3 linked regions of the Saccharomyces cerevisiae S288C genome follow. The main gene of each other region encodes a partner of the protein of the gene in region 3 in a complex. Each region holds a gene or a part of one and is shown on either strand. Other genes may lie near its edges.

Region 1 (4,590 bases), on a different chromosome or scaffold from region 3:
AACCAATGACTTGCGGGAGAATTTGAAAGAAAAGCTAGAAAGAGATAAGGCTCTGTATTTAGAGGTTAAAAACGCGAAAAGTAAGCTAAAGAAGAAGCCGTCAATAACAAAGCTGCCAGCCTCTTCTTCTCCATCCCCCTCACCCACATCTTCAGCAAGCCCATCAAGACAGGCCTCTTTAGAGAGCATAAGAACAAGGGCAAGGGCGCATTTAGCCTCAAATTCTTCTAGGTCTCCCTCAGTATCGCCTGTAAGGACCACTTTCAACAATAAAAACGCAGAAACGAAGAAAAGCGTGGTGTCTCCGGAGAAAAGAAAACTGATCAACGGCAGAAGGCCTAGATCCTCATCTTTGCAATCCTATACAAACAAACAACAAACCTCATATTTGAATTCTACAAGACATCCGTCAATAGCTCCACCTTCAAAGCTCAACAATCAAAGGTCCAATTCTTTGCAGTCCTCAACCATGACGTTAAATCAAAAAATCGTCCAAGATACAGTGCGGCATTTGATGAACAAAAGTGCATCTACACCCAATCCTTCTGCATCTTCATCGTTAGCGCCTTCACCAAAAGTATCCAGTATAAACAACACCTCCTCAGGAAAATCATCAAGTACCCTGATTGCCAATAGTAGTGATACTTTGGCTATAGAGACATTAACTCTAGATCCGGAGTCAAACTCCAGTGAATTGTCCATCAAAAGGGTGAGATTTGCTGGTGTACCGCCAATGACAGAGGCAGAAAATCCTAAACCAACAAAGGTGGGTTGGTACAAGAAGCCGGCTGTGCTACATTATCCGCCAATACCTGCTTCGGCAATGATCAAGCCGCTACAGCATAAGTCCAAATATAACACGCTGAGACAAGAAGAAGGGTTTACCTTTCGAAAAAGTCTTCGAGATGGATTAGAGTGGGAAAATGGCGAATCTGGCTCCGAAACTACCATGATGCCGTTTGGGATCGAAATCAAAGAGTCGACCGGGCATAGAATAGCTTCTAAAATCAGAAGCAAATTGAGATAACTCCGCACCTTATAAAAACAACTCTTTATGTCCCTGGAAAAAAAAAAGAATACATATCTAATACTATTCATATCCTTCATTGTTCTTGTCTGATGATTCAAAAGTACTCATACTATTTTTTAATATTTAATCTTTTACCTTAACGTATTATTGTAATTCTTCACGAATTTGATTTTTCCCCAGCTAAAAAGTTGATGAAAGAAGTTCAAATTATGGGGTTATTGACACATGGCAGCTCTGAGCCGAGAGGACGTATCAGCAACCTCAACCAAATATGTTTAGTAACAGACTACCACCTCCAAAACATTCTCAAGGACGAGTTTCGACGGCTTTGAGCTCAGATCGCGTTGAGCCGGCAATATTGACTGACCAAATCGCTAAAAACGTTAAGCTCGATGATTTTATTCCAAAGAGACAGTCTAATTTCGAACTATCGGTTCCTTTGCCAACGAAAGCAGAAATCCAAGAATGTACAGCAAGAACCAAGTCATACATTCAGCGGCTTGTGAATGCGAAACTAGCCAACTCAAATAACAGGGCATCATCAAGGTACGTCACCGAAACACATCAGGCACCCGCGAATCTATTATTGAACAACAGCCACCATATTGAGGTAGTGTCCAAGCAAATGGATCCATTGTTGCCAAGGTTCGTTGGGAAGAAGGCGAGAAAGGTTGTAGCACCCACAGAAAACGACGAAGTCGTGCCTGTTCTCCATATGGATGGCAGCAATGATAGGGGAGAAGCTGATCCAAATGAGTGGAAGATACCTGCAGCTGTGTCAAACTGGAAAAATCCAAATGGTTATACCGTGGCCTTGGAAAGACGTGTAGGTAAAGCTCTTGACAACGAAAATAATACCATCAACGATGGGTTTATGAAGCTCTCCGAAGCGTTAGAAAACGCTGACAAGAAGGCAAGACAAGAGATCAGGTCCAAAATGGAATTGAAGCGGCTTGCTATGGAACAGGAAATGCTTGCTAAAGAATCTAAATTGAAAGAATTGAGCCAACGAGCCAGATACCACAACGGGACTCCGCAGACGGGAGCAATAGTTAAGCCCAAAAAGCAAACGAGCACAGTGGCCAGACTAAAAGAGCTGGCGTACTCTCAAGGAAGAGACGTATCCGAAAAGATAATTCTGGGCGCAGCAAAGCGTTCAGAACAACCGGATCTGCAGTACGATTCAAGATTTTTCACAAGAGGGGCAAATGCCTCCGCCAAAAGGCATGAAGACCAGGTTTATGACAACCCACTGTTCGTCCAACAAGATATTGAAAGCATATACAAGACCAACTACGAAAAGCTGGACGAAGCGGTCAATGTTAAGAGTGAAGGTGCCAGTGGTTCTCACGGCCCCATTCAGTTTACTAAAGCTGAATCCGATGATAAATCGGATAACTATGGCGCCTAGGCCCAGGATGAGCACTAGGAAAACAAAGCATTCTTGTGCTTGAGTTGTATTATAGATAAAAAAATAAAACTACTGCATATACGTGTACATCTATATATTAATATATTCTAATCGTCCTCGTTTTCGTTTTCGTTTTCCCTTCCAATTTTCTTGAAATCATTGATAATAAAGTCATTATCGCTGAGGTGTGATGATTGACTACACTTGATTATGTTCAGAATTTTAGAATTCCTTCTCATAGCAAACTGCTCTATTTTCTTGATGGTCCCACTTACCTTGACGGGGTTCACGATCAGTCCATCGACGTCGCCAATTTTCGACATCAACATCAATGCCATGATAACAAGGTCGCAATCCTCTCGATGGCATCGGATTATCCCCGTAGACGTCTTATTTGAAAAGTATTTCAACTGCAAGAGAGAGTTACATTTTGCAGACCCATAGTCGCCCAGATTCAACGACAGCGAGCGTCGTATCTCTTGGAGTATCGACTTTATGGACACATCCGCAGGCGATGCTCTGTGATGCGAAAGCAAGATGTCTGCTTTCGACACAGATTCCTCAACGTTGGTGTCTGTAGGTGGGAATATAATTTCAAAAAGGATATATCTACTTTTTAAACGTACCATTTATCGACTTGTTTCTTTGTTGCACTAACTATTGCTATCACATTAATCTGATAGTGAAAAGTAAAATATTTTTCAAGAGCGCTAAGCAAGAACAAAACAAAACAAAGTCAGGAGGCAATTAAAGACAACAAGATAGAAAAACCAGAGTGGTTGCTGTGGTAGTACGTTGGGGGCTCGTTTGTCGAGGTTTTTAAGCAGGTTTGAATGGAAGAAGAAAAAAACGAGCACTTACTGGAGTTACTTGGTAAGAAAAGAGTAAGAGGGTTTGGTGGGTGATATATATTTTCATGCCACCAACTGCGAAAAGACAAGGCATGCATCCATGGCTGGTGAAGTGTTTGTTTAGGATATGAACTTCAACCCAATTCAGTTCCCTCACAAACATCGTCTTTCTTCCTTCACCCACAGGTGCAGGCGCCGCCATGGGTGAGCCTGAGACAGGGTCAACACATTAGATCGATTCAAAGTTACGACAGTCATACAGATAATGAAACGACATATTTGAACTGGTAAACGAGCTTGCCATTGGCTCTGAGTATGCCCAATGCTTCTTTAGTGAATAATGTTCACTAAAACTGTTGGTACATCCGTGCACCTCCGCTAGATGAGGTGCAGGGGTCTATCAAGAACCCCCTTCTTCCTAAGAGAACCGCTTATAAAAGTAGCCACATGGTTCATAACATCCCCGTTATGGCTCATACACTGGGCATCGATAAACAGGATATTCGCGCATCGTAACATTTATAGGGGAAACATGGGATTATATTCTCCTGAATCTGAAAAGTCTCAATTAAATATGAATTACATTGGTAAGGATGATTCGCAGTCCATTTTCAGACGTCTGAATCAGAATTTGAAAGCAAGTAACAACAATAACGATAGTAATAAAAACGGTTTAAACATGAGTGATTATAGCAATAATTCACCCTATGGGCGCTCGTACGACGTAAGAATTAACCAGAACTCACAAAATAATGGCAATGGATGCTTTTCTGGCAGCATTGACTCCTTGGTTGATGAACATATAATACCATCGCCACCTTTGTCGCCCAAGCTGGAGTCGAAAATTAGCCACAATGGCTCACCCCGCATGGCCTCTTCAGTGCTAGTGGGATCTACGCCTAAAGGCGCTGTAGAGAATGTGCTGTTCGTGAAGCCTGTATGGCCCAATGGGTTATCAAGAAAAAGGTACCGCTACGCCACCTACGGGTTTCTGTCTCAATACAAAATTTTCAGCAATTTGGCCCAACCATATTCTAAGAACATTATCAACCGGTACAACAATCTGGCCTATAATGCTAGACATAAATATTCCAAATACAATGATGATATGACTCCTCCTCCTCTGCCTTCCTCTTCTTCTAGATTACCTTCCCCGTTAGCATCTCCGAATTTGAATAGACAAGCAAGATATAATATGAGGAAACAGGCTCTCTACAATAACAATCTAGGAAAGTTTGAATCCGACACTGAATGGATACCACGGAAACGCAAGGTATACTCACCACAAAGAAGAACGA
Region 2 (4,895 bases), on a different chromosome or scaffold from region 3:
TGTATGCTAGTTAATGATAAGGAATCAACTTCATTATATAAGTACAATATGCTCGTAGTACACATGTTGGAAACGAGTTTCAAATGCGTATTTCTTGTAGTATCGATAATAATTGGTAGTTCAATTTCAAAAAGGTGGAATGCAAATGCGTCTTGCAAAATTTGACCCCTCTTTAATTGCTTATTCGCGAAATCTGGCCAACTATTCGCAATTGATTGGTTAGGCCAAAATGGTTCATTGAAATCTTTGTTAACTTCAGATAGTGACTTAAATTCTTTGTAGGACAAAATAATGACACCAGATGAAGTTTTGTCATCACTTGTCACTGTTACATTTTTGAGTGATTCTATGCTAGACTTGATCAAATTATTTATCGCATGTACCAAAGAGGGTTCTAGAATTTGGAGAGATTCTATTACTAGCCGTTCCAAGCAACCTTCCATGAAATATAGTTGAGCAAACTTTGCACCGTAATATAATATCCTTTTAAAAATACTGGGCAGATAATAAATCCGAAAAAACTTTCTCTTCTCAGGTAAGTAATATCGCAGCAGCGATATAATTGCATATATCTTGTGAGAATCAAATATTGCTGATGCGTCAGGTGTAGGTGTTTGCTCATTTGTGTAAATCTTTGGATATACTTTGTCTCGCCACAACGGTTCATCATTATCAATAAAATGTGAGTATTCATCGATAGGCGAAACATGCATTCCAATTTTGTTACCATCGTCTAAGATAGAAGAAGGCATATTATGACTTTTCCTTCTATCCTGAGTTTTCGATGACGTCATCAATGTGCTGTAATTATTTTTAAATTGGGAATTCAAGTACTTTATCACTTGAATATGAAAATCTTTAACGTCATTAATGTGTTCTTTGAAGTTTTTTCTCAGTAAGCGCAAAAAGAATATACCATCTGCCTTCGTATCTACCTGTTCCTTATTGAAATAAGGAAACATATCATTAAAAATAAGGGCACGAATTAAGCTTTCAACTTTATCATTACTATCCCACTTTAAAGATCGTATATGCGCAAAGTCTTGAACTAATGCTTCTTCCCCATAAGGCCGGAATGCGCTGAACATATTTTGAAGGTCATTTAATCTAAGAACGGCAGAAGAAATCGAAGAGAACACAAGATTTTTGGATGTCCAGATTAATTCAGCACCGTCGATCCTAACTTGCTCTCCAGTGAATGCATCGATACAGTTGGCGACATAAACAATCTTTTCCCAAGGTATAATGAGTTCTTTCAGAGGATCGCTAGATTTTTGAAGATCAAAATTCTCGTAAAATTTCACCAAACATTCTTTGAGTTTCATTCGAAATTCGTACATGAACTGGAGTTGCCTTTTATCATCAGAATCCCATTTCCAAGACGAATACTCAGCCATTAGTTTGTAAAAGATTTGAAAGTTAGATCCATTATCTGGCCATCGCTCTTTTTTAATGAACTCATCTAAAGATGCCACCCAGAATCTTGAGAGTGTAAGCCCGGTAGTTTGGACTTCGGTTTCTAAGTAGTCGATTGCTGCAAACTTTAACTCGTAGTATTTCTTCATGCCGCAATATTTGTTTATTTGTCCACTCAAAGCTTGGAAGTGAGATTGATATATGTAATTTAAATGGAGGAATTGCTGAACATCTGTTTCTGAGGAAAACTCTGACGATAGAGACGCGACACTGGAAAGCAGCGCCTTTTTGATGCATTTGTATATTACTGTTTTACCGCTGCGAGTTTTATGGTGGAAACGAACGGTACCTTTTGAAGATGCAATGATCTGGGCCAGTTTTTCTGACTGTATAACAATCCGCCTTAAATTGCCAGTTGCTAGATTGCCTATAACATCTCTATATCTGGCAACAGCCTCGTCAATGGACATGACTATAAAATAAACTACACCTTAAAACTGAGTTCATATACCGCTTGCTGCTTCCATATTAAACACTTTTCGTTGTATAAATATGATGGCCTTTTTTTTTGTCTTATTTTTCTATATCTTGAAAACGAGAGATACTAGAGAAATAATACGTAAGAAAATCAGTTCTTTATTTAGCGAAGCTGAAACACAGTATAAGAGAGTAGAGCTTATTTCAAATCCAAAAAATGGCGTATAATCAAGAAGATAGTAAAAGACTATCAGACAAGTATAAGAAGGAGGGACATTTTGACAAGTTGAAAAGAGAAATATTGTCTAACCCATGGAATAATACAGAAGAGAATAGTGAATCTTTTGAACAAGCGCTTCGGAAAAGAGTTGCCAGTACTGTTAAAGAAATGGTTAACGAAGATGAAGAATTAATATTTAAAAACAGAGGGCTAACCAGTGCATTGATTGAATCACAATTGGTCAAGGACAACTACCTAAAGCTGGGTAGTAAAATGGAGGGGGATAATGGTGATGGTGAGAAGAAATTTGACTTGGATGTCTATGTACGGTCTAAGTTACAGGATCCCAAACTATTGGAAATGATAAAGGGACAACTTCAGGAAACACTGAACTCTTATGAAGAGGAAGCAAATGGAAGTACGTAATAACTCTTACTAATTCTGTATATAATATAGCATATCATCACAACGACGACTTTTGAACTTCCTGCCTGCACGATCCACACTTCTGTACTTGAACCTATCGCCTAGTATACTATATCTCAATGCCGAATCGTCGTCATCTGATATTGGGATTTCAAATTGAAATACTGTGCCCTTTTTTGGAATGCATTTTATTTCGTCTATTATATTGCCCTTGACAATCATGATAAAAAATTTCTGAGAGTCCCAGATCACAATGCCTTGAAGGCCTATTAAAGTCTTATTTTTGCTCTTTGTAACGCGTAACAGCGCACCATTATAGTCTGCCATAGATAGTTTTAATAATGCTAATGATCCATTGAATGTTTTTAAGTTTTTTGTAATGTTCAAAAGTTCTTTAATATAGTTAATCCATAGTTCCTTATACATCGGTACAAAATCAACGTACTGCGGTAATGATTCGTATATCGTTGGATGCTTCTCCTCTATGTAGTGTAAAAGGTCTTCCTTATCAGTAATTTTATTTTCGTATGCCAATTTCAGACATTTTTTTGTATTTTTTTTACAATTATTGATGTACTCTCTTAATGCGATTTTAGAGTTCTTGTTGATTCTTTGGTAATCTCTTTTTTCCAACTGTTTGTCTGCACTCTCTAACTGGGAGACCTTTTGTAAATTGTCAAGATTTAGCTTTGATTTTCTTTGCTGTCTCTGAAGCCTTGAAGTCAATCCGCCATCAGTTGGCAGTAGCAACAACGTATCTTGAAATCTATTTTCATTAAAGGGCTTTTCAGGGTCCTCCAGGCATTTCGTGAAAAGACAGTCTTTAATAAACGTTTGAGTTCTATCCATTCTGACAAATAGGGGAGTCCAAATCGTGCTTATTTTCTTTAGTCTTTACAGATTATTGCTCTCCGCTTATTCATGTCATCGAGTATATTTGCCATACTATTTTGAGTACCATTTTTTTTCTCAAATCAACGGACCGGGTAAAAAGCGGATGAATTGGGATATAAAGGCAGTAAAAAGACCACCACAGCTGCAACCACGGAGAATAAACTTCTTTAACTACCCCACAAAGCTGCCAGTAATGCTCAGTTTTCCATCCTTTGCATGAGCTTTCTGTAGAAATTTAACATTGTGCAATTTTTCTTGTATCCAAAAATTTTACATCGATTCAAAAAAAATGAATATTGGCTAGTAAAACTATTCATACTGCTATAAATACACCTGTTATGACATAAAAGCTCAAAAACAATCTGCATGTTTTTTCCTCTTTTTTCATTTATGGCTAGCAATCTCTTTTATTGATTTTTGTCGCGTAGGTATTAATGTTAACCCAGGATTCATTAATGTTGCCTCTGTGGGAACGATTACCCCCGGTAGTTATTTTGTGTTCAAGCTCGCTGTAAAAAGATCACTGTCTTCGATATTGGTTTATATAAAACTAAAGTAGCCGCCCAAGTACTCTCCGGGTACCAATTCCGTCCTTTTCTTTTTTTTCGGTAATTTCCATGGAGGAAGGTTATTGAACTATCTATTAGTCATATTCCAGATCCATCCAAATGATATAAAAAGACGGTACTTCCTAACGTACATGTCAAACCAATTGGTGAGATCGTAACCATAGCACAATGTTTACTGGTATTGTAGAATGCATGGGGACTGTTTTGGAAAACAACCCATATGATGACTCTGAAAGTGGAGGTCAAGGAGTTTCTATTACTATTGGCAATGCGGGGAGTATTCTCACCGATTGTCACGTTGGAGATTCAATAGCCGTAAATGGGGTATGCCTTACTGTGACCGAGTTTAATAACGACTCCTTCAAAGTTGGGATATCACCAGAAACTATAAAACGAAGTAATGTCGCTTCCTGGATTCAAGGCACCCAGGTCAACTTGGAGAGAGCGGTATCTCAAGACGTTAGGTTCGGTGGTCATTATGTACAGGGTCACGTAGACACTGTTGCTAATATTGTCTCAAGAAGACCTGAGGGGAATTCAATTATTTTTGGGTTTCAGTTAAGAGATCAAGAGTACTTTAAATACATAGTAGAAAAGGGATTCATTTGTATAGATGGAACTTCCTTGACCATAATCAAGGTTGACCCACTTTCGCAAGGTGGAGCCTTCTATATTAGTATGATAAAGCACACCCAAGACAATGTTATCATGCCTTTGAAGAAAATTGGCGACGAGGTTAATATTGAAGTAGATTTGACTGGGAAGATTATTGAGAAGCAAATTCTATTAACGTTGGAAAACCAAATATCAAAGAAAGATAGTACTTTGAATACTATGATCTCAAACATTATCGAGGAGAAGGTTAGAAACTACCTAAATAAATAAATAAAAAA
Region 3 (9,135 bases):
ACAAAAAACAGGTCACCATCTTCAACTTTGCTTTCATTCGAAGACAGCGAGTGGTCCGTCGAGGGTGAATTCTGACTATCATCATCCTCGTTTTCACTGTCTTCATTGTTAATATATTCAACATCAGAAGTCATCTTTCCTGGTTCTTCAAAAACGTCTGCTTCCCTTTCGACAATTTCTTCACTGTTCTTTGTTTCGTTCTTTGCTCTCAGTTTTTGAATCATATTGTGGGATGGATCGTAAACTTCCTTAGCTTTTACAAATTGCATAGGTCTTTTGCGGAATGCTGCCCTTCCTGCTTGTAGGTCAGTTGAAGAATCATATCGATTACCTGGTCTTAAACCACCCATTTTCATAGAACGGCTCTTGGCATCGCGACCAAAATAATAGTCTTCTATAGTTTTTGGTGATATGAATGCTCTTCCTGGGTTGAAGTCGGCGCCTACATCATCAAGATCACCTTCTCCTAGTGGTATAGAAGAGTTATGCCAACTGTTAGTGGGAGTAGGTTTTTTCTTTATCTTTCTGCCTTGTATGCCTTTAGCATTCCCCCTGCCAGCTTTCTTGGAATTGCTACCACGTGCATGCCTACGTCTGCTTCCTTGATAATGACTATGCCTTTTTGCCATTTTTTTTGACGGTTACAACAATTTATGCTTATATTTGACTCTGCGATTAAATCACTTCTTCCTTCTAGAAACTCTGCGCAGGCCTAATTGTTGTTGTTTTGTTCAGATCTTATTTAATTGTAAAATGTCAAATTTCACTTTTATTCTTTAGGCGGTGACCGTTGCAGCTGCCAACAATAGCGCCTCAAAGGAAAAAAGTAAAAATATACACACAATAACGTTAGTAGATGAAGAATGGACGACTTCTTATCACGTATAGGAGTGATATACATGCAGAGGTGGCTACAACTGTGGAAAATGGATTTGGTACAAAAAGTGTCTCATGGCGTTTTTGAAGGCTCGTCCGAAGAACCGGCTGCTCTTATGAATCATGATTATATAGTATTAGGGGAAGTATATCCTGAGCGAGACGAAGAATCTGGCGCTGAACAATGTGAACAAGACTGTCGATATCGCGGTGAAGCGGTTAGTGACGGGTTTTTAAGCTCTCTTTTTGGTAGGGAAATTTCTTCTTACACAAAGGAATTTCTTTTGGATGTACAATCAAGGGTCAACTTTACATATCGGACAAGATTTGTTCCTATAGCAAGGGCGCCAGATGGGCCTTCACCTTTAAGTCTAAATTTATTAGTACGTACAAATCCGATCAGTACAATAGAGGACTATATAGCAAATCCTGATTGCTTTAACACTGATATTGGGTGGGGGTGTATGATAAGGACAGGACAAAGTTTGTTGGGGAATGCCTTACAAATCCTTCATTTGGGCAGAGATTTCAGGGTAAATGGTAACGAAAGTCTGGAAAGAGAATCAAAATTTGTAAATTGGTTTAATGACACGCCTGAGGCTCCATTTTCGTTACATAACTTTGTTTCTGCAGGTACAGAACTCTCTGATAAAAGACCAGGTGAATGGTTTGGTCCCGCAGCTACGGCAAGGAGTATACAATCTTTAATATATGGCTTCCCCGAATGTGGCATCGATGATTGTATAGTATCTGTTTCATCCGGCGATATCTATGAAAATGAAGTTGAAAAAGTATTTGCTGAGAATCCAAATAGTAGAATATTGTTCTTGTTGGGCGTGAAGCTCGGGATTAATGCGGTAAATGAGAGCTATAGAGAAAGTATATGTGGTATCTTAAGTTCAACACAGTCAGTAGGCATTGCCGGCGGTAGGCCGTCTTCATCGTTGTATTTTTTTGGTTATCAAGGAAATGAATTTTTACATTTCGATCCTCATATTCCTCAACCGGCAGTAGAAGATTCATTTGTAGAGTCGTGCCATACCAGTAAATTTGGTAAATTGCAACTATCGGAAATGGATCCCTCGATGCTCATTGGTATTTTGATTAAGGGCGAAAAAGACTGGCAACAATGGAAGCTAGAAGTTGCAGAATCTGCTATTATCAATGTTCTTGCTAAGAGAATGGATGACTTTGATGTGAGTTGTAGTATGGATGACGTGGAAAGTGTAAGTTCTAACTCAATGAAGAAAGATGCAAGCAATAATGAAAATCTCGGAGTACTAGAGGGAGACTACGTAGATATTGGTGCAATATTCCCACACACAACAAATACAGAAGATGTAGACGAATATGATTGTTTTCAAGATATTCATTGCAAGAAACAGAAGATTGTTGTTATGGGAAACACACACACTGTTAATGCGAATTTAACAGATTATGAAGTAGAAGGCGTCCTTGTAGAGAAGGAAACGGTAGGTATTCACAGTCCTATTGATGAAAAATGCTAGTGTAAGGAATTCACTAGTTCATAAGCATATATACTTGTTTTAATATATTCCCTAAAACTGAGGTATCCAGTTCTTTTGTTCTTATTCGTTTGATCATCCTTTACGTATTTTTCGTCTGCGGCAGTGGAAAGAACTTAAAAAACGAAAGATAATAAAGAAAAAGGCCAGTCGGCACGAATTAAAGACCACCTGTAAGAAGATTAAGACAACGGTGGTATAAACTAGTGTCGAAGTCCAAAATGCCTAGTCATCGCAATTCAAACTTGAAGTTTTGCACAGTTTGTGCATCAAACAACAATCGTTCAATGGAATCGCATAAAGTCCTGCAAGAAGCAGGCTATAATGTTAGCTCTTACGGAACAGGTTCAGCTGTGAGACTGCCTGGTCTATCGATAGATAAGCCTAATGTGTACTCATTTGGTACACCCTATAATGATATATATAATGATCTTTTATCACAATCAGCAGACCGTTACAAGTCGAACGGTTTATTGCAAATGCTGGATCGTAATAGAAGACTCAAAAAAGCACCTGAAAAATGGCAAGAAAGTACAAAAGTCTTCGACTTCGTTTTCACTTGTGAAGAGAGATGTTTTGATGCCGTTTGTGAAGATTTGATGAATAGAGGTGGGAAATTAAACAAAATAGTGCATGTAATTAATGTTGACATTAAAGATGATGATGAAAATGCTAAAATTGGTAGCAAAGCTATATTGGAATTAGCTGATATGCTCAATGATAAAATAGAACAATGTGAAAAAGATGACATTCCCTTTGAAGATTGTATAATGGACATTTTAACTGAGTGGCAAAGCTCACATTCTCAACTACCGTCATTATACGCTCCTTCATATTACTAAACAAAACGGTCAATTACTGTAGAAAAGCATAAGCATTAAGCGGCCCTCATGAATCCTACATTATCCGTGAAATTTCAATACTTTCACAAGTCTTCGATAGCTTCCTAGTTATATTCATTATATAATATTACGTTTCTTGTTGCGGCTCTCTTAAGCACATTATTTGCTTGTTGTCCACATAGCTATTTTTTTATCAAGAAGCTTGATATACAACACACTGTATTTTTAGTAAGCTGGACAATGTCTTGTCTCAATGTAGCGTATAACAGGTTTCATTCCAAAACACATCACCAGATATAGGACTGAAATGAAGAAAATAGAAGCATGAAACTTTAAAAGTTTCAGTACTTTAAGAAAGAAATAAATAGAAAAATGTTCCATTTATTTCTGAAAATAAATCAAAAATTATAAGATCCACCCGTTCCTACCAAGACCTTCCAAAATTTTTCCCATAACGGGAACGAGCAAAGTTGAGACTGCTCAAAAGAGCACATCTTCAAACTACAATCCCGACCAAATAATCTCAACAGCCATACCTTCATCATAAACTTAAGTTCATTCGAATCTGCCGTCAAAAACTAAAATGGCACGCTAGAGAAAAGTAGTCAAAAAGAATGCCTCTACAAAGCTCTCTTTTGAAAGGCCCCAGCTCCCCTAACACCAATTTGAATTTGGTGTCAAACTTCTCCAGGCAGAAGAAACAAAGGGCCCCAAAAATCAGTTTAACCCAAAAATCCCCAAAGGAATCAAGGGATTAACCAATGATTGAAACAAGGGAATGGAAACGTCAGCAAACACGCCTTCCGCGCCGTATGTGTGTGTGACCAAGGAGTTTGCATCAATGACTTCAATGAACAATTATAGTTCAATGATAAATGCTTAACGTCCTTCTACTATTGGAAGCGCATGTTTGATCAGTAGGACTTCTTGATCTCCTCTGATATCTTAAGGTAAGTATGAGGATTTTAAAAAAATTCAAGAAAAAACTATATTTTAACGCTAAAAGTATGTTTGTAAAATAGTTCTATTAAATGGAACTTCTTCTCTCTATTTATACGTCTTGCCAATGGAAAACTCGTCGCCTTAGAAAAAAAAAAGGTGCAAAGACGGGTAATAATTTCATTGACATTTTCAAGAGCTAGGGAATGAATCAATGAGCCCTATGATGGCAGCGTAGATCACCGTATTTAAATTAACATATAATAAGATTTGTTGCCACTTTCAATCTCTAAATGTGTACGTATAGAGTTCCAGGAAGCAAAAAGACCATTATTGCGCGATATGATTGCTATTTGCCCTCTGTATACATAGCTTTATAGGATATCGGTCGTACATATAATTCAGTTCAGTTCATTATACGGATATTTTCGACCACTCCCCCAACCTATAAGTGTTGGTACCTACATTTCTGATCAGTACATACCTAGTTGGTTGCCGGATGGCCGCATGATGATCTATAAATCCGATTCCCATACCATTTCCACAATTTAAGTGGTAGGTGCCGCTGGTAATAAAACCAATCAAATCATGTACCTCTGGAAGTGGAATTTTCAAATCATGATCTTTTCTTCCGTTTGGGCGGTAAACCCCTTTTGCCAATTGTAGCCAATGCTCTAAGTCCTTTTCTGGAACTTGATATATTCTTGCATTGTCCTTTGGGTGACCTCGTTCGAGTAGTGTGCAAGATACAGCAATGATACAACGTGGGAAGAATGTAAGGGAGAATGAAGAACTATTGACGCTAATGCTATCAGGAGTGCGAAATTGACATTTCCGATTTTTACACAATGCAACTGGTATGTTCTCTTCAATCGACAACGACATAGCCTTGGTCTTGGCTTCATAATCTTTGCAAAACTCCAAAACATCATTTACACAGTTGATGTCTCTTACACCCTGAGCGTTAAATTGCCCGGTCTTCTTACTGTCCATCAGTTCTAAGGTTTTATCATTCCGCTGTAAATAATCAATTCCATTTCTCAGTATTTGTAAAAATCTCCAGTCTGAACTGAAAAAATCGCCGATTTCTCCGCTATATGCCGGTAATTTAGTGTTATGGATGTCTTTGATCTTCTCGAAATTAATCCTTTTTCCCATTGGCTTCCTATCCCACTTCGTCTTGGAGGCCTCCTTTTTATAAAATGAGTTTTCTATATAACCCAATTGAGTGAATGGATAATCATCCGGAAAATATAATTGCTTATTCTCGTACTGAATTTGCTGGAATTGCCTGAGGCCAATGTGATACATCCTTGGTATCCGGTTCAGTAGATGCCATAACGGTAGCAGCCAGAACCATGGTAACACAACAATCCAATCCCTGGTCTTGAGCCTTCTTATTATGACTAATGGAATAGAAGGATCGTCACTTTCTTTGAACGGGACTGTAGTTTTATTGATGCTGTTCGGTGTGGCAGTTAGCAATTTGTAACGTCTCGCAGAAATTTCTTTTAATGTGTTTTGGTTGTTGTATGATTGAGTACGTGATTCAGGGTCACATAATTCGTTAAAAACGGCGTTTATTTCGTCTTGAGGATAGTTTTCATGCAGTGATAAAATGTCGTCAGAATTAACAGTCTTCCTCTGTGAATCATTTAATTTCTTTGGAGCAGCTAGATGACGCGGATCTATGGCTTCAAATGCAAACGTACACCTCTGTGGTAGGGCATTATGATCGGTAATCATTGAAACCATTTTAAATTGTTCAAACGATTTAGAGTACTCTGTGCTCCTTAAACACGATGCTAATGACTCTAGAGCTTTAGCTCCCTTCAATGTCACGCTTGCTAATGAATATCGACAATCTTGTACTGTTAGTTTTTCCTTATGTTGCAAAAGAATGTTAAAAACCTGAGTATAAATTGAAGGGTGTAACCTTATAATTGCAGTATCCTTTTGTACCCAAAATACGTCGCATGGACCCAGTGGCTTAGTAGAATCCTCACCGTTTTCTTCATTGAAACTATAAATTAACCCTTGGAATAAAACCTGGCCTTCGCGATATTTCCTTAAGTTTGCTCTTTCAGCTGTTAACTTTCCTATAATGGATTTTAAAAAGTCCCCCTCACTGTCATTGCTTTTGTCTTTTACAATTATTGTACCAATATAACTTGAATCCATGCATAAGGCCCCATCGGAGCTGCAGGTATCACCGCCCAACCTATGCGTCAATTTAAAGCATTTTTGAGTAGGTGCCCATACCATTTGATATCCCCATCTTTTCATCATGTGCGACCTTTTAGCATTCCAAATGTGGGTGGGTAGCCAAGCAAAGTGCTTCTGTCTCTTCGTATATTTGACCCTGCCCTTGGGAATAGGTGCTAATTCATTGACACCAGTGCAATCATAGCTCCCCATACGATTATTAAGTAACTTTATATTTGGATTTGCTGTTGATGATTCTTTAATCATTCGCTTTAATGTCTTGATTTTCTGCCTTACGTGGCAGTTAGATGATGTAACCTCTGGTGGCATGCTGAGTTTCATAGAAGTAGATTTGCTAGCCAATCGTAGCAGCTTTATGGACATTCTAGCTTTATAAAGTTGCTTTGCATTTAGGCCATGAGCTTTTCTGGAAGAGGCTGAAGACCCCTTCAACACATCCTGCTGATCACTTTTACGCATTTCCCTCAAAGCTCTATTGCGCATTCTTTTTGGAATTCTACGAACATTATGCGAAGCCGTTCTACGACGCAATTTTCGAGGCAATGCCTGAAATATTCTCGTTGAGCTGGCTGCTTTGGAATTATGCATGGCCAATTGCAACTGCTTAACCTCGAATTGTCGAGAACTAATGAATTGGTCCACGTTTAGCTTACTTCCCGATTCACTCAGATCACTCGGTGTCCCAGTTTTTGTTGATGAAGCGGCCACGGCCTCTGCTCTAATTGATCTAGCATTTCTTATGCGATTTCGCTTCAGTAATTGATTCTTATTAAGAACTTTCTTTCCACCATTTCCTCTAGACAAACTCCCGCTCATTTGTAATTATAATGAGGTCAATTCTCACCTTTCTTGCCAAATGTTCAAGTGGCAGGCTGCTCAATAAGTATCCCCGTTCTTCAAAGACATGCCACCGTTCCGAGAATCTCATCGAATTCAGATCTGCTTTCTTCTAATGCGAATTTCACTGAAAAGTTTTCCCACAGTGTTACCCTCTTACCCGGGTGCAATGTCACGTGCACATCACATATGAAAAAATGACCAGCAAAGAAGTCAATCTACCTTCCTTATGGCCGGTAGAGTCAATAGTAATTTACTTTGCAACCAATTAATAAATCTGTAAACTTAAAGGAATCAGCAATTACCGCAACCCCAGAGAATCGGATGGTGAGATTAGTCCCATTCAATTCGCTCTCGTGACCAAATCGTCGGGAAAACATGTCCCACTTACCTGTTCCTGTGAATCCAGATACGGAAAAAAATTGTATTTAAATAATCTCGATTTTACATTTACTGATCGCGATCCTTTTCATTGAGTCACAGATTAACAAAGTAAATAATAATAAGTAAACATTATTTCTAAAAAAGTAATTTCTTTTTCTTACTAGTCTTTTCTTTTTTGACTTTCTCTTTATTTCTTAACTTGCCTTATAAAAGAAACGATTGTAGAAGCTTACCTCGACCGAGTAAATATTAAGCTTTTCGTTGGATAAGGTAGGGGAAATCGTAACATTACTAAATTTAAAGCATATCAGAATGGTTAACGTTGTATTGGGCTCCCAATGGGGTGATGAGGGTAAAGGTAAACTAGTTGATTTACTGGTTGGTAAATATGATATTGTAGCCCGTTGCGCCGGTGGTAACAATGCCGGGCATACCATTGTTGTAGACGGTGTTAAGTATGATTTCCATATGTTACCATCTGGTTTAGTCAACCCAAACTGCCAAAACCTTTTGGGTAATGGTGTTGTTATTCATGTTCCATCTTTTTTCAAAGAGTTGGAAACCTTGGAAGCTAAAGGTTTGAAGAACGCAAGGAGTAGATTATTTGTTTCTTCCAGAGCACATTTAGTCTTTGACTTTCATCAGGTGACTGACAAGCTAAGAGAATTGGAGTTATCAGGTCGTTCTAAAGATGGTAAAAATATCGGTACTACCGGTAAAGGTATTGGTCCAACTTATTCCACAAAGGCTTCTAGATCTGGTTTGAGAGTTCATCATTTGGTGAATGATCAACCCGGTGCCTGGGAGGAATTTGTTGCTAGATATAAGAGATTATTGGAAACGAGAAGACAAAGATACGGTGATTTCGAATACGACTTTGAAGCCAAGCTTGCTGAATACAAGAAGTTAAGAGAGCAACTAAAGCCATTCGTCGTCGATTCTGTCGTTTTCATGCACAATGCTATTGAAGCAAAGAAAAAGATATTGGTTGAGGGTGCTAATGCTTTGATGTTGGATATTGATTTTGGTACTTATCCATATGTGACTTCTTCCAATACTGGTATTGGTGGTGTCCTCACCGGTTTAGGTATTCCTCCACGTACTATTGATGAAATTTATGGTGTTGTTAAAGCCTACACAACTAGAGTTGGTGAAGGTCCTTTCCCAACGGAACAATTGAACGAAAATGGAGAAAAACTGCAGACCATTGGTGCTGAATTTGGTGTCACTACTGGTCGTAAGCGTCGTTGCGGTTGGTTAGACTTGGTAGTCTTGAAATACTCAACTTTGATCAATGGATACACGAGTTTGAACATTACCAAGTTAGACGTCCTCGATACTTTCAAAGAAATCCCAGTGGGTATTTCATATTCTATTCAAGGTAAGAAGCTAGATTTGTTCCCTGAAGACTTGAATATTCTTGGTAAAGTTGAAGTTGAATACAAAGTTTTGCCAGGTTGGGATCAAGATATTACCAAAATTACAAAGTATGAAGATTTGCCGGA

What was found. Proteins that work in one complex are often made in the same cells at the same time.
Region 1: POP1 (region 3) and POP5 share a complex: the UniProt entries of both Saccharomyces cerevisiae proteins name them as parts of the nuclear RNase P and RNase MRP complex.
Region 2: POP1 (region 3) and POP4 share a complex: the UniProt entries of both Saccharomyces cerevisiae proteins name them as parts of the nuclear RNase P and RNase MRP complex.

The regions. Positions count from the first base shown.
Region 1 is NC_001133.9:81,186-85,775, reverse strand, and holds POP5 (RNA-binding protein POP5), read right to left. Parts: upstream 3,071-4,590; coding exon 2,549-3,070; downstream 1-2,548. Other genes in the region: protein phosphatase regulator GIP4, read left to right, coding at 1-1,027; mRNA splicing protein PRP45, read left to right, coding at 1,302-2,441; FUN19 (Fun19p), read left to right, coding at 3,825-4,590. UniProt on the Saccharomyces cerevisiae protein: Component of ribonuclease P, a protein complex that generates mature tRNA molecules by cleaving their 5'-ends. Also a component of RNase MRP, which cleaves pre-rRNA sequences.
Region 2 is NC_001134.8:727,378-732,272, reverse strand, and holds POP4 (RNase P/RNase MRP complex subunit), read right to left. Parts: upstream 3,389-4,895; coding exon 2,549-3,388; downstream 1-2,548. Other genes in the region: YBR259W (uncharacterized protein), read right to left, coding at 1-1,886; SHG1 (Shg1p), read left to right, coding at 2,111-2,539; RIB5 (riboflavin synthase), read left to right, coding at 4,171-4,887. UniProt on the Saccharomyces cerevisiae protein: Required for 5.8S rRNA and tRNA processing; associated with RNase MRP and RNase P.
Region 3 is NC_001146.8:226,471-235,605, forward strand, and holds POP1 (ribonuclease P/MRP protein subunit POP1), read right to left. Parts: upstream 7,226-9,135; coding exon 4,598-7,225; downstream 1-4,597. Other genes in the region: SQS1 (Sqs1p), read right to left, coding at 1-629; cysteine protease ATG4, read left to right, coding at 900-2,384; SSU72 (RNA polymerase II subunit A C-terminal domain phosphatase), read left to right, coding at 2,624-3,244; ADE12 (adenylosuccinate synthase), read left to right, coding at 7,943-9,135. UniProt on the Saccharomyces cerevisiae protein: Required for processing of 5.8S rRNA (short form) at site A3 and for 5' and 3' processing of pre-tRNA.